Drosophila melanogaster: one gene and its partners. The protein of the gene in region 3 interacts with the protein of the main gene of each other region in a pairwise test. Each region holds a gene or a part of one and is shown on either strand. Other genes may lie near its edges.

Region 1 (3,359 bases), on a different chromosome or scaffold from region 3:
AGCACATGCAGGCTCAGGAAGAGAGTCAATCGCTGGACAACCAGGCAATTGCAACTGCATCCGCTTCCACTCAGGAGAACAACCAGAGTCAGGCCATCACCAGTGGCAGTGGAGAGTCATCGAACCCGGTGACTCTACCTCAGGCTGAGGCCTCCAACTGGAAGCAGGCAGCTGCCTCAACGTCCACAGCCGCCGCCCGACGCAACGAAAGGTAGGTTAACGATTTGTCTACGATGAGCTTCACTAATTGAATTAAATCAAACACAGCTCTGTGGAGATTGTAAGTTCACCTCAAGTCTCGAATTTTTGTGAGCAACCTGCCCGCTTGGAGTCCGCTGAAGTCGATGGCACCGCCGAGGTGGCCGGAGGCGCGCCTCATGAAAGCGCAGGCCCCAGCGATACGGGAGCTGCCTCGGCCAGTTCTCCGCAAAAACAGAGCGAGGCAGGGGAGAGCAGCGGAAGCGACGCCCTTAAAGCTGCTGACGATGGTGGTGATCATGCTGACGGAACAGATAACGCCAGAGAAGCAGATGAGGCATTCGCCGAGGAGACAATGGCTACTGGCCAAGGAGAAGACTCTCAGCCGCTAGGAAATGATAGTATGTTATAATAAATAGTGTAAATGGATTGGAAAACTAAGCACTCAATTTTATCCAGATCCAAATGTGGGCACTAGCCAATCGGAGGTGTCCCACAACCAAGCCAATCTTGGCGAGGGAAACCCCACCGAGGACAGCGAGGGAGCCGACGGCGTCTCCTCCGAGGGTGAAAAGCAGGCGGTGGGTGTTGAGGTAAGTAGTACTTGCATTGGTGGCAAGATAGCTGTGGAGAAAAGCAGGTTGGTCCCGATGAGACCCTGCATGGAAATACGTTGCTTTGAATGTAATTAACCCCATGGGATATGATTTGTAGTTCACCCCACTTATGGAGTGCATGGAATATTAAATACTGAAGAATGGATGTAATGTTTCTGTTGTAATCCAAACCAAGACCAATCTGCACCAACTGAATCCTAAATTGATTGCTCTCCATTTCTTTTTAGGAGGAGGGTCGGGAGGCGGAGGCCACTTCACCGTCGGAGAACACGCGATTTCGCACGCTGCGTAGTGCGGTGCCCACCCGACGAGGACATCGCGCCATGAGGGGTGGCAGTCCCAACAGCCAGAACCGTCCGCAGCGGATTGTCTGGCAACGGGACACGTCGCCGGGAAACATTCAGCAAAACCAGATGTCAGCCAATAACAATCGCTTTGCGCAACGGACCCGCAACCGTCGTCCCATTCGTCGTCCGCCTCCAAACAACTTCAACAACGGAGGACGATTCCCCTAGGGCGAGGAGTTCGGCGGACCCGCAGACGAAAGTCCGCTGTAGGCTGACTATAAAATCATTGCGTTTACTGGGCTAGAAATAAGTCTCCTCGCATTTAAAAGCGCTTAGGCTAGGATGAGCCACAAATACATATTACTCTACATTCTCCAGCTTGCGAGTCCTGAGTTTCTGCAGTTGACAAGATGCAAAGAGCTTTGGTTCTTGTACATTAACTTTGCTATAGAGTTTTTAATAAATATATGTGTAATTTTGTCGATATTTGATGCACCTTTCTGGGCAAGGATTTCAAACTGCTGTTACCCCAGCACTACAAAGTGGTTTACTCCCTGAATAAGTTGCCTCATTCTAGTAGTGTTATAACGCATTAAGATGTAGTTTTCCCCTCTTTAAACCATATTTCTTAGACTTTAAAGTATTTTAAAGAATTTCCACTAATGTTTTTGATATTCAAATGAATGTAAAAGATAATAATATTACAGTATTTAAACAAATCAATTAATTTAGTTTGATAACGTGTTCGATTAAAATCGCACTAGTTCTAATGTGAAATATAGACCACCGATTGCACTGCACTTTGGTGGCATTGACCTTAATTGGTCTAAGCTACGCAAGCCGATTAATTATGCAGCAAGCATTGGAACATGAAACGTGCTCCGAATTAAAGACTTCATCATAATTACCTGCTATTGTAAGTCAGTTGGCCAGGCAGTTCGTATCCGAAATTGGCTTAGAAACCCCCCAAAAAGAAACGAAAATGATCTACTCGGACAATTGCTGTTGCTGCGTGGATCTGAAGTGCGGAAGCATCCTGATAGCCATCGTTGAGGTGCTAATACGTGGACTAGATCGCTTCTTTGTTGATCGTGAGTGGTCCTGAGCATAGGAATAGCTAAGATATAACTGGCTTTCTTAGGTGACAGCCTGCTGGGACTTTTTTCCCTTGTGGTGAGCGGTATCTACGTTATCTGCTGCATTTTTCTACTGCTGGGAGCAGTTCTGGTAGGGATCCGTAATATTTTGGTTGGTGGACAATATAAAGCTGTCTAATTACAGGGCCTGAGATATTTTCTGTTGCCTTACCTCTCAGTTTCCTGCCTGCGGTTCTTCATTTTAGTTGCCGAGGGCGTGTTTGTAGCCACAGAGGGCATCATGAATGAATATCTAGTTTTCGATATTCTTCAATCCCGTAAGTTGCATTCAATATTTCGGCACAATGTTCAACTTGGCCAAATCCTTTTCCAGTTCTAGGCTTGTACTTTTGGCTGGTGGTCTACTCCTATTATGATCGCTTAAAGGACGCGTGAGCTTGTAAATTTTACAGTATATTGTTAAATATTGGTCCTTATAAAATTTATTCTTTCAATGTTCTATCATTTTGGATATAAAATAAAGTAATTTATAACCTTTTTTGGCAAACATATAGTATATTTGGAAATTATCTAACCATAATATCTTCAATTTCCGGTCAATTTTTACTTTCTTTTTCTGCAACATCTTGCAATAATGATAAATATTTTTAACGCTTTACATACATTTTTAACAATTTTAAGGGAAATCCATGTTGTAATCCATTGTTCAATGCGCTTTTGCAATCTTGACCTAAGTAACCAAATAAACAAATTGAAAGTTGAATATTGTATTCGACGTTAATAACGAGTAATGCATAATTGAGCAATATAAATTATTGCTTTCCCAATTATCGGTACCCAATAACTTGCGCAGTAACCTCATTTGTATTCAATGCGTGCTCCTGGTAAATAAAAAAAATATCGAGTGCCTTTGTTAAGATGCACTGATTGATGATCGTATCTCAAGATTTCTGGATCCGCAACGAATGGAGCGCTCATGACTTCAAGGTAGTAATATGAAATACTGTAACCGCTATAATAATTTTTTCATCAATATCCCAAGGACTTTAAGATCCGGCTGATTTTGCTTTCTCTAAACTCTCTTTAATGGCAGCGATCATAAATAATATTTACATTCATGGGCTGTAGACCTAGACGACACTACAAACTAGAACTGCTCG
Region 2 (4,046 bases), 2.4 Mb from region 3:
GTAGACATTTTGTTTTTGTTTATCGGTATGTGTGTTCAACACGTCAACACCAAAGATAACTTGGGTTTATTGCTTATTATTAACTCGCTTTAAAGTTAAACTATTTCTATTATTCTTTCGTGAGTTTGACCAAGTTTTTTTTGGCCCTTCCGTATGTCTGCCTGTGTTTGTGTATTCGCTTTTGCTGTTTATGTATGCGTAGGAAAATGCGTTTTACTTTTCGTTTGGCGCTGTTTCTCCGCCGCTGCACTCGATTTGACTATAACTACTGGTTTCGGACTGAAGCCAACCGCTGGAGCTCCGAAATATTGCAACTTTGTTTAATGCTTCTCCCGAAGCGACTGTCTTGTAACTAAAATTAAACACGATTCGTTTCTACGCACAAGCTTAATGCGTAGTTTAAATCTTTTGTTGCTGTCCAGTGTGACCAGATGGAGAAACGGTAGCAATCCAGGTGCGTGTCTATGTTTTCCTACATCTGGCATCCCTTGTATCAAGTAAATTTATTGGTGGTTATTTTTAAAATGATAAAACTTGGTTTCTGTTGACTTTTGAAAATATATGCATATGCATATATGAATATGAAAAGTATATATACATTTACTTTTATTTTATTCTTATCTCGTTTTCAAAAACAAATCAAATGTTTCCAAATCACTTTTAGCCACATTTCGGACGAAATAAAAGTTATTGCCTTCCACTATAGTTTTTGGCGATATATACAGGTCTTTTTGCGGATCATATTGCGCTCTTCCAAGCAATTTCAGGAACTCATGACGTTCCCGCAGTCTAAATTCGCGTGAGGCCAAAAGCTCCGGGCACTGGACAATCTGGGCATGTGGAAGGCCCATATCCTGGTGAATGTAACTAAATCGCTCGACAAGATCATCCGGAGCTGCAAGGATAAGTTGTTTAATTACAAATGTCCTTAATTTTGAATGTAGATAGACTTACGAATCATCAAGAGGCGCGGCTTTCGTACCACCAGGTCACTTAGCTCCTTGGCATTGAATCCCATTTCCTCCTTAAGGGTGAACACAGACTTGCGGAGGTGTTCCATATTGTAGGTAATGGCATTGGGTTCTCTGGTGGCCAACAGTCGCAGATCATGACCACTCAATTTGAACTCCTTTTGGAAGTAACCCAATCGACGATCCACTCGCCTGGTGGAGAACATCAGCCAATAAGGATTCTGGGTGAGAATTCTTTGCCTGGCTTCGTCCGAGAATCTCTTGCTTTTTAGATAGTTCACTCTGGTCTGCAGATCGTCCAAGTCCTCCTTGAACAGCAGCGGGTTCTTGGTGAACATCCTGCCGAAGTCATCGGGTGATACGCCCTGATCCACCAGGAACGTTATGTAGGGCTTCACATTTTTCTCGAAATCCAGCTTCAGTACAAAGTCTCCCAATCCCTTTCGCCGTTCAATACTGTGCAGATCCACTCCCAAGCTGAGAAATTGCTGCAGGGTACTCGAGTTGTTCACATAGGCCGCCAAATTGAAGGAAGGCACATGGGCCTCCCGATTTCGGAAGTCCAGAGCCACTTCTTTGGAGCCTTCACATTCCGCAGGCTCGGTCTTCTTGTCATTCTGTTTGGTGGTTATACCCGGTGATGTTAACACTTCTACCTCATGGTGGACACTTTGTTGTCCTCGCAGATTTCGTATTTGTGAGGTAATTGTTGCGTTTTTAGCCGCATTTTGTGAATTCCTCAAAATGTTACGTAGAGCTGAACAAAACATGCTGGAGGCGTTGCCAGATGTCGCGAATGTGACCAGCAGTTGGCTGCCAAAGTTTCTAAATATGGCATGCTAGCTAGAAAAAGCTAAAATTATATTTTGAATATGATTTTGATATAAAAACATATTTGTTTTTAAATGGATATTCTTGAACAAAAATGCACTACTAATATCTGATTTCTTTAGTTTTTTTATGAAGATATATATAAAATTGCAAATTGTTGGTATAATTTTTAATCGGACGGTATATGTTAACGGTTACCACCACGGTCACACTAGGTATGATCTTGGATTTATTTTGGTGTGAAAATTCCGGAGCATAAAAACAGAAGAGACCCTTGTATGTGCAAAACCCCCCGAGAGGAGTGCCGGTAATTCCAAGTCAGCCACCTGTTGAACATTATTCAATCGCCGCATAATGGACAAGTTGCGCCGCGTTCTGAGTGGAGATGAGCCCACTCCGGAGGAGGAGAGCAGTATCATTACGCAGGTGAAGAAATTTTCTAATGGTACAGATCTCATTAGATCCCTTAACATATTCTGGCTGGAGGAATTATGATTATGGCGTGGCTTAGGAGCTAGCCGCTGGCAACGCCCCGCGATCACATGGCGCCCCAAGCCGTGTGACCCAACGCTTATCAAAGTATTTAGTTAATATCAATCAATTACATACGCAGATCAACGACATGTCCACTTTGAGCTGGTCCACTCGGATCAAGGGATTCGTCATCTGCTTTGCCTTGGGCATCTTACTTTCCCTACTCGGCTCGGTCGCCCTATTTCTGCACAGGGGCATTGTGGTCTTTGCGGTCTTCTACACTCTAGGAAACGTCATCTCGATGGCCAGGTGAGCGAGTTGCTGGTTCCGTTCCACTCGTACTTCACACAAGCCGGCTAATGAGTCTCTCTTCTCCGGTTTCAGTACCTGCTTTCTCATGGGTCCCTTCAAGCAGATCAAGAAAATGTTTGCGGAAACACGGCTGATCGCCACCATCATCGTGCTCGTCATGATGGTCCTGACGTTCATCGCTGCTATTGTGGTAAGGCGTCCATGCTCAAATCGAAGATATCACAATTATTTAGGGTTCGGTCGTTAACTTTTATAATCAAGTTAGTTTTATAGCGATAGCATGACGAATTTGTTTGCAGGTTTTGTAGAAAACTTTTCCTTAATGTTTAGACTTTAAAGTTATCCAATGAAATAGCGATCCAAATCTTATACATACTTCATGAACTCACAGTAAAGTTAAATGAAAGCTTTTAGCATTTTACTTTTAATATTAATAACACAGTTTCACATGCCCTAGCAATTAAATTCTGAATATTGGTTTAATTCTTATTACTTGAACAAAAAAACAGTACGATGCAATCGATGTGTGCACTTAATATGTTATTATTTTTATTTGATTGGCTTTAGTGGAAAAAGGCGGGACTCACGCTTATATTCATTATCATACAATCTCTGGCCATGACCTGGTACTCGCTGTCGTACATCCCCTACGCCCGCGATGCGGTCAAGAAGACCATGTCGGCAATTCTGGAGGTCTAGAATCAGATGCGCTTCTGTACATAGCTCGAGAAAAGCCAGATTGGTTTGTAGCTTAAGCTAAGACAATTAAATCTTTTGTATTGTATTAACCTAGCACTAGAACATAGAATGTCCTTTATATTCTCTTATTAACAAGTACAATAATTCCATTTTGTCTTTTTAATAAATATATATATATATATATATATATCTTTTATACATATATATATATATATTTACATGTTATGTATTTAATTTAATCAGTACAGTTTTCTTTAGTTTATGTACATAATTCTCTTCTCTGTTTTGGTTTTTAATTTAAAGAATGGCCCGATCCACTTTGTTTCTGCAGCTTTAAAGTTTATTTATATCAACTTCTTATTTTAGTTTCTTCTCTTTTTGCGGCGACAATTTACCTAGAAAAGTGAAATGAAAAATTGTAGATCAAAAGTAGCAGATATAAAAGTTAACAATAACTGGTTAGACTATTTTAATTTTAATATCGTAGTGCATGATGTTGGGTGCATCAATGGAATTACTCCTTGGCAATTGTGCTTTTTTGTGGCAATGCAATCCGCGGAGAATCGGAGAAGGAGAAAGAGACAGAGAAGGGGAGAAACGCAAGGAGAATTTAAATTGAGAGCAAATTGAGTTGATAAAACATTGTGGTTAACCATAAATTGAGCCAATAATAAAGAAAGTCAGCGGGCGCAAAAAAGAAAGTTAGTCGTAAGGCAGGCAACATTAAAGGGACTGAAATGATCGAAATTTGCTATGCCA
Region 3 (3,800 bases):
TAAACATGTTGACAGCTGTAAGGACACGGCCGGAACTCAGGGGCAAGCCCAAATATTCACTGGCCCCCATCTCACAGAGATACGATTGTCTATGTCTGGGATGGATTTCTGGCCCTTGGCCATTTCGATTTTAATACAAGAAATTCCTGACATTGTCGCCTGGCCATAAAGAAGTCGAAGGGAATGCGTCGAAGGAGCCGAACTCGTATGACAACTTTATCGGGCCGAAAGAAGAATATTTGCTGAGATTTTCAGGTGGTTTTTAGACGTTGACCTTGTCTTATGTCCCTTATGACACTACCCTAAGAAATCTGGTCTGGTCACATCTGTGAACCAATTTACTATTCCCCTTTCTTGACCTTTTAAAAAAACAATTGGAGAATCTTATAAAAAGAGCACAAAACGGTGTGATAAATATGTTGGCTATAATATTTATATATTTAAAAAATCTAAAAATAAAGTATATAAAGTAAATAAAGTGCCGTGCCCTAGCGACCTTTTACATTTTAGGCATTTGCATGGAAATGGCCATCATTTTGTGACAGGAGCCAAAGAAACTCAATGCAGTTTTAAGTAATTTTATGTGTATTTGTTTTAATTTACATTCAAAATGAACGATAAGATTTTCTGGCCAATTTTCTGCCTTGTCCTCTGCATCTTGATGCATTGACAACTTGTCAAACATTCTAATATCCTGTACAGCTTGTGATGTGAGCATTATGGGGGAATTTGGTTTAATTAAACTGCATTCATACATGTGCAAATACATCGATTTTGCTGTTTGCATATTAATTCCAGTAATTCTAAATGAAGACGGCAGAAATTACGAGGATTTCTCAAGTAATCTCAAATGGGTGATGAACAAATGTCTATTACAAATGGGAATAGTTGGACTGTTAAACAGGATTAATATATTGGAAATATTTGTTTTACGACAAACTGAAAGGTTTTCATTTTATATTCATCATATTTTGTTGAATCTACTATTTTCTTTTAAAGTTTTTTATATATAACATATACTACTGTTATTAAGTGGACCCTTTAGCAATTGCGAGCGATCAAAAGCTTTTGAACGATTGATTTAAATTATTCCGATTTTAGTATTCTTTTCTCTACCCTCCCCAAAAGTCATTTATTTTCTGAATCTTGAGGGTGGAAAGTTAAACCACTCGATGTCATTTTGACGCCAGTGACTTTTTCCCGTATTTGCCCAAAATATTAGCGTAATGCCTTTGACAAATCAATTGGCAAGCGATTGACTTGGCAGACAGAAGGCTGAGTGTCATTAACCACACCCTCAATGGGCGTTGGTCACACCTCGTGCCAAAATTATTTGCCCAGGATGCTCCAAGAATTGGAATAAAAGACCTTGTTGACGGTGCGGATCAAACGCGAACGAAGCTGTGACAAAGAGATCTTGAAAAGCGTTCTGTTTGACTTAACAATCGTTCAAGTAAGGGATCAAGTAGAAAATATACGACCAGTAATTCTTAATTTTCAAAAACATAAATTGCCTATGGTTAGAGAAATAGGTACAAAAGCAGAAGCTAAAATGAATTTATTATCACCGATTACAGAAATAGAATATGAAGTTAAATATCTTGCGATAGAAAGGATAGCTCAAACTCAATCAAATTATGTATCTGCGAAAACCCATTTACAACCCCAAGCAAAGACAAAGCAATTTATGAATAATTTGCATAATTCATGTAAAAGGATATTTTTAAACAGATGACACGAATTGGCAACAGGTGCTTTTGGCGGTTAAATGTTGGGATCTTTCTTGTATCGGTGGTACTTGACATGCATCTCGTATTATATAGCATATAGATGTATATAAATATATATATTTATATACGAGCTCCTCAACTGGCAGCTACTCAGTTAGTGGTGGTAATTTCAATAATTTCCACATTATAATTTAATAATGTGTGGATGTGAAACAAGCTGCATGCTTAATTTAAACTTTTCAGCTTTAATAGTTCACAGACTCTCGACGTTTATACGGACGGACAGACTGACACAGCCATAAGTATATATTGTACATACATATAGACTAGCCCATCAATCCTGATCAAGAATATAAAGAATCCATCTGAAAGGTAAACCTTTCAACAAATCTAGTACTCTACGCGTGATGGGTATAGAAAACAAATATAATCTAGTATTCGAATAGTTTACTGTCGTTGCAATCGTATCCAAGTTTTTGTAATTTGTATATCTTCTCAGTACTAAAGGTCTTAAAAACTCAAAAAAAAAAAAAATATGGCCACAAGCGCGAACTCTGTTCAAGTTTCTGGAGCCGGTGCGGAGGTAAACGAAGCTAAACTCATCTGCATCTGGGAGGGAATAACTGAGCTGATCCTGTGGCGCAACTGGATAAAGTCGATGCTTGTATTCGTAATGCTACAGACCATAATTTATGATCTGCTTTCTGAACCGCTTGTGTTCGTGGTGAGCGTATGGGCTTTGATTATCATGGTCATATCAATGGGGTACCGTTTTTTGGTACAGTACACTAATACCCATATCCAGAACAACAGCTATCCGAAATATCTTGACATAGACCTAAGAATCTCCCAGGAGTTATCTAAGCAACTGGGTGTTCTAGTTTCAACCAAAGTTGTTGCGTTTCTAAATAATCTACGAGAGATATTACTAGTAAAGAGCTTTTCGAAATCATTCAAGTGGTTTGGCCTTCTCCTAATAATTAGCAAACTTGGAAAGCAGATTAACTTTCTAATTGTTGGCCAATTAGGTAAGTCTATCATTAATAAATAATGAAAGAAAATAACAAAATTCATTCAAATATCAGGGCTGTTTCTACTCTTCACAATTCCCAAAATGTGTGAGATGAATAGACGTTCATCAAATATTGTACAACTTCCTAAATTTAATAAACAATATCAAATTACCAAAGTAAACGCTTCGACCGAAACCCAGAATGCATTGGACATGGAATCCTTAAAAGAGTGCAACGAGGACACCATAAAGCTAATTGAAAAGCAACCAGAAGGGATGGATCTCTCACTCGGCTGTGATATTACCAAGGAATCCCAGAATGCGGCTGATGATCTTAAAGCCTTTAAAGTAAAGGAGGAAATAGACATTGATGCTTTTGAGCGACTTGCCGATTCCTGGTCCGACGAAGATACACTTACTGATCAAAAAAATTAATTCAAGACAATTCAAATAATTTATTTTTATATATTGTGAAGCGTTTGGATAAATAAAACTCCTAGGGGCACTGTGCGGAACAACAGCTACACGACTTGCTTATTCTAATAGGGAGATACTTTAACCTAATTCGAACTACTGCTTTCGTCGCCATCGTTCACAAATTCAAAGGCCCTTCTGGACCGGAAAGCGTGATAGGGTCCTTGCTTCGGCTGTCCTGCTTGAAATTCACTCCTAATCCTTGAGACCACTGCACCACTCTGCGGTGAATAGTTTGCCTTGAAGATCTTTAGGAATGACGGAATGGGAGGCACAATGCCATCCGTATGAAACTGAACAATCCCCTGGATGTGTTGAGGTCGCAAGAGGCTGCATAGCTGCCGAAGATGCATCCTGGTCGGAGTCGGTGTCCACTTTAGTTCCTTTAGATCCAAGGAAACTACCTTTTGATAGTGATTAAAGTCCGTCGGGCAACCGCTGACGAAAACCCTTGGTACATAATTTTCCTCCAGAAAACGCTCCAGATCGATGCTAAGGCACTCATAGCTTTTTGCAATGTGGTCGCCCAAATGAATATGCCCGCGAAGACTTGTGTGTGCCAATCTCCATAACATTTCCTCGTA
Region 4 (4,532 bases), on a different chromosome or scaffold from region 3:
GCTTAAATTTCAGATCTTGTTCGAGACCATTTTATAGAGATATCAAAGCGAGCTAATTCGCTGGAAATGTACCAAATTACTCTTGGCAAAGAGTCCGCTAAGCTAATAGACAATCTTATGCTGAGTGAGACTCTGTGAATATTTTTAGATAATTTTTTTCAAGATTACCAAACAACTTTGTAGTTGACAATCTTCCACATTTTTGTTGTTGTTTTGTTTTCTGTTATTGCTATTGTGTTATAACATATAAGTTGAGCCAATCTCTAACCTAGATGGCTTTAATCTACTCTTTTTCCATACAATCTTATGGTACAATTGAGCAACGATGTCCTGGATAATTCGTTTCATTTCAAGAATTGAAAAATTCTATAGATGTTACTTGTTGCTGTCTATAAAAATAGTTTTTTTTTCATTATCATATTAGTTTCGTGTACCCATTAAAAGTTGTTTGTTATCTTTGTTACTATTACGTTATCGTAGCTATAATTCATTAACATTTGGAGTAATTCTCTAAACCGTAATTGTTGTCTTTGTTACAAAATCTCAATTTCTCTGACAACACCAAAAAATAAACAAGTTACAAAAACAAAGGAATACAGAGTGTTTGGCACAATTGCTTAAATTCCGATCTGCTGGGCCAGACCCGAATAGATGTGCAGCGTGCAGAATCCAATGACGGCCGCCACCAGCGCTTTAACAGCCACCGTTAGCCAAGGTCCAATGGTCAGAATGTGGAGCATGCCCTCCAGCCAGACGCCTTTGAAGACAGTCACCGCCAGAAGTAGACTAACCAGCGGCTTTAATGCCTTGTTCAAATCGTGACGGGTGAAGAGCCAGATCAGGGTGGCCGTAGTGATGTGCTGCACCAGAAGCACGTTCGATTCCAGACACTTGAGGATGTAGATCCAACTGAACTCGGTGCCTCGGGCACCCACCCACAGCATGATACCTCGGGAAAGAATCACTTCGGCGGTGGCCCCTGCGGAAGTATACGAAAATATTTAGTTTTTACTAAATTTTTGGAAGTTGTCATACATATATGGGTTGGGGTATTAAAGGTTGAGTAGGCATTGGCTCTTGTAACATTAATATATCTGAACAGAGTACTTTTCAATCTTTAAAAGCCACCCTCATCATTAATTAAGTTTAAATAAGTTGGTTCGTTCAACCTACATCCAAGTCCAGCCGTTATGAGCTTTGAGTGGCCCTTGCCGGGTATGCGACTCAAGATTAGGGCGAATCCAAGCAGATCGGCGATGTCCATGCTGCAGCGAAGAATCTCCTGCAGACCAAAGAAACCACAACATGACCTCAATAATTGGGTGAAGGTAAACAAAGATAAGCACACGTACCGCAAAGAAGTTGAACTCGCCGCTGGAGGATGGAGCGTCCGAGTAGAAGAATGTGGCCAGCACCAGCATCTTGACGAGCTGTGTGAATATATAAATGCCTCCCGCCTGCACGCACTTCCAGAAGGCTCCATATTCTGATCTGTGATTAAATAATAAGCCGGGAAAGTTCACAAATAGTTTTTTATTGACCTGGTAGAGCTGCGGACTTGGCAGTCGGCAAATCACCAGTAACCAGAAGTAAACTCACAGGCCGGAGTATTTATAGGTGAAGTAGTACGGCGTCAGCAGGGCCACACAATTTCCAAAGTGATACAGTGTCATTTTCTTTGATAAATTATGGCTATTTTATTTTGGCTTAATTAAGAGAAGAATTAAAAGTTGAAAAGAAAAAAACTAGCGTTGCTTGCCGTGGGTTATCGATATGTGCTTAACAGGGCTGACGGCATGTCAGGCAGACTATAAAAAACAAGCTAGTTTTGCAGACAATATTTTACAATAAATATTTTAATAATAACTATTATAAATAAATATTTTGAAATATTGGAAAACGTGTGTCTTTCCGAACGAAAAGAAGTAGCAACTGTTTTAATCTGTTTCGTGCCTATCGATAGTTGCTTAAATATCAACACGTCATCGTAATCTATCATCTGGAGGTGTGTTCGTGTGTGTGAGAAGAGTGTGTGTGTGTGCGTTTGAGTGAGTTTTCTGCAACCTTTAGCAATTATTATGAATTTTTTGACAAAACCATTGGGAAATACTTGAACGGAGACCAAATTTTACTTTGTTTAGGACACACAAACCTGCCAGCTAAGTGACGAGCCAAACATCAAACGGTAAACCAGTGCATTAAAGGAGAAAAACAAAGGGGAAATTTTCGCAAAGAAAAGTCCAACAGATCATTTCGTTCGTGTGCATATGAAAAACAGCAACGTCAACTCCCTGGTAAAAGCTGCAATCTGAAATGAGATGCAAACCCGAAGACGCCTTCATCAAACAGACCAGCAGGATTACAGCAGTAGCAGTACCTATACCATTCAAGAGGATCAACAGGGAGGAGCAGGCGCAGGATCTGTGGGCACGGGAACAGCTGGCGGATCGGTAGGACTATTAGCACAGTCCCTGGTTCCACCACCAACTGGTCACGAGGCGGCCATCCACATTGGAGACAACTACCAGTCGGGCGATTCCATTTCCACTCCCGATTACTCCGACGACAAGTACGGCAAGGCGGCCCGCCAGTGGAACCTACGCGCCTTCTCGGGCCACGCACTGCGCACTTTAAGTGCCGCTGCCGCCGTGGTCACCGGCAATCAACCGGGCATCAATAACGATAGCCAAAGCAACTATAGCTACCCCGCTTCCATTCCGACTAGTTCACAGTTTTACCAATCGAAGGAGGAGCCGCAGGAAACGGAACCCGAACCAGAAATATTCGTCATGGCCGCACGCGATCGAACGGGCGAGTTCGCCAATGCGATTCGTTCCCTGCAGGCTCGAAATATCACCCGGGCAGTGAATATACGCGATCCCCGCAAAGCTAAGCAGGTTCAGAGCTACTCGGAGTTCATGATGGTCGCCAGGTTTATTGGCAAGAACATAGCCAGCACCTACGCAAAACTGGAGAAGCTCACAATGTGTAAGTACATGTTTTAGTAACCCCTTAAAGTCATATTCAAAACTTTAAAATTCCCATCTTCGTTTTAGTGGCCAAAAAGAAGAGCTTATTTGATGACAGACCGCAGGAGATTCAGGAGCTGACCTATATCATCAAAGGCGACCTAAATGCCTTAAATCAACAAATTGCCCGACTGCAGGACATCTCCAAGGATCAGCGGCGTCACACAAACGGCAAGCATTTGGTGTCACATTCCTCTAACATGGTACTGGCCCTGCAATCGAAACTGGCCAGCATGAGCACGGACTTCAAGCAAATCCTGGAGGTGCGCACGGAGAACCTCAAGCAGCAGAAGACGCGACGTGATCAGTTTAGCCAGGGACCAGGTCCGTTGGCCGCGCACACCGTCTCCCCCTCGACAGCCAAGCAGGGATCTTTGCTTCTCAGCGAGGAAAACCAAGCGGTCAGCATAGATATGGGGAGCAGCGATACCACACCACTCCTATCAACCCAGACACAGATGGCCATCTACGATGATTCCGATAATTACGTCCAGCAGCGGGCGGAGACCATGCAAAATATAGAATCTACCATCGTTGAGCTCGGCGGAATATTCCAGCAGCTGGCACATATGGTTAAGGAGCAGGAAGAGATCGTGGAGCGTATTGACACGAATGTGGCGGATGCGGAATTGAATATTGAGGCTGCCCATGGGGAGATCTTGAAATACTTTCAATCCGTCTCCAAAAATCGCTGGCTGATGATCAAAATCTTCGGCGTTCTCATATTCTTCTTCTTGTTCTTCGTTGTTTTTATGTCGTAATCAAACGCCAGTTGCCCATTAAAAGCCCCATGTACCTATCCATGTATACAGCTTTTTATTTTAATCAAGATTCAATCACAATATTGTTTATTCCAAGCTGTGGCCTCCCGAAACGATTGTAAAATAAAGTTATAAATACGTTCTAAAGCAAAATACATTTATTTTAGCATGTGGTTCTTTGGTGAATTTTTCCATTCTAATGGAAGCTCTAAAATTAAATATAATTTCCAAAATATAAAGCCGAATGATAAATATGTTTGCTGATGTAAGAAACTTGTATATTACCTTAGAAAACGTGTAATGCAAGTATCAAATTGGAGAGAGACTATATCTATGTTTGCCCTGCTGATAAGGTTTAAGTGCCCTTTCATAATCTTTATTATCTTAAGTGCTCGTTGCTCCATGTTCGTCGTGTTTAGCCAAAAATTCCGCTGTCCCTCATGCTAAACAGAAAAATGAAAATTGGTTACATTGATTTGACTTTTATTTAATGCTTAAAATCCAACTACACCAAAGATGCGATATGCAAAAAATAATCAAAATAAAAACATGTTACAATCTCTTACTGCAGAAAAGTATTACAAATTGTATGAAAAAAACAAAGCTTCAAGATGTCTTTATGGATTTACACTAGAATTTACAAGTGAAGTATTGTTCGCGGTTGATGGGGACTCTTCCCCAAAAAAGGAAGTCCTCTACCCGAGTTTAGACAACTAATACACGACGCTGATGCGTTGGCGCC

What was found.
Region 1: the proteins of CG42853 (region 3) and CG34230 interact in a two-hybrid assay, tested with the Drosophila melanogaster proteins (one large-scale study listed by BioGRID).
Region 2: the proteins of CG42853 (region 3) and CG5104 interact in a two-hybrid assay, tested with the Drosophila melanogaster proteins (one large-scale study listed by BioGRID).
Region 4: the proteins of CG42853 (region 3) and Syx5 interact in a two-hybrid assay, tested with the Drosophila melanogaster proteins (one large-scale study listed by BioGRID).

What each region holds. Positions count from the first base shown.
Region 1 is NT_033778.4:11,859,273-11,862,631, forward strand, and holds CG34230 (uncharacterized protein), read left to right. Parts: upstream 1-2,037; 5' UTR 2,038-2,084; coding exon 2,085-2,193; intron 2,194-2,243; coding exon 2,244-2,329; intron 2,330-2,383; coding exon 2,384-2,516; intron 2,517-2,572; coding exon 2,573-2,634; 3' UTR 2,635-2,743; downstream 2,744-3,359. Other genes in the region: Mgtor (megator), read left to right, coding at 1-211, 268-599, 658-791, 1,043-1,330; Twdlbeta (tweedlebeta), read right to left, coding at 3,347-3,359.
Region 2 is NT_037436.4:20,519,000-20,523,045, forward strand, and holds CG5104 (uncharacterized protein), read left to right. Parts: upstream 1-2,009; 5' UTR 2,010-2,156; coding exon 2,157-2,228; intron 2,229-2,415; coding exon 2,416-2,585; intron 2,586-2,660; coding exon 2,661-2,778; intron 2,779-3,155; coding exon 3,156-3,287; 3' UTR 3,288-3,435; downstream 3,436-4,046. Other genes in the region: BNIP3, read right to left, coding at 1-8; mTerf3 (mitochondrial transcription termination factor 3), read right to left, coding at 618-895, 955-1,741; Pss (phosphatidylserine synthase), read right to left, coding at 3,645-3,682.
Region 3 is NT_037436.4:18,120,393-18,124,192, reverse strand, and holds CG42853 (uncharacterized protein), read left to right. Parts: upstream 1-2,203; 5' UTR 2,204-2,265; coding exon 2,266-2,758; intron 2,759-2,815; coding exon 2,816-3,177; 3' UTR 3,178-3,261; downstream 3,262-3,800. Other genes in the region: CG7341 (uncharacterized protein), read right to left, coding at 3,303-3,800.
Region 4 is NT_033779.5:16,305,342-16,309,873, forward strand, and holds Syx5 (syntaxin 5), read left to right. Parts: upstream 1-2,004; 5' UTR 2,005-2,318; coding exon 2,319-2,988; intron 2,989-3,056; coding exon 3,057-3,790; 3' UTR 3,791-3,933; downstream 3,934-4,532. Other genes in the region: c(2)M (crossover suppressor on 2 of manheim), read left to right, coding at 14-138; CG5861 (uncharacterized protein), read right to left, coding at 618-979, 1,174-1,282, 1,353-1,491, 1,600-1,673. UniProt on the Drosophila melanogaster protein: Mediates endoplasmic reticulum to Golgi transport.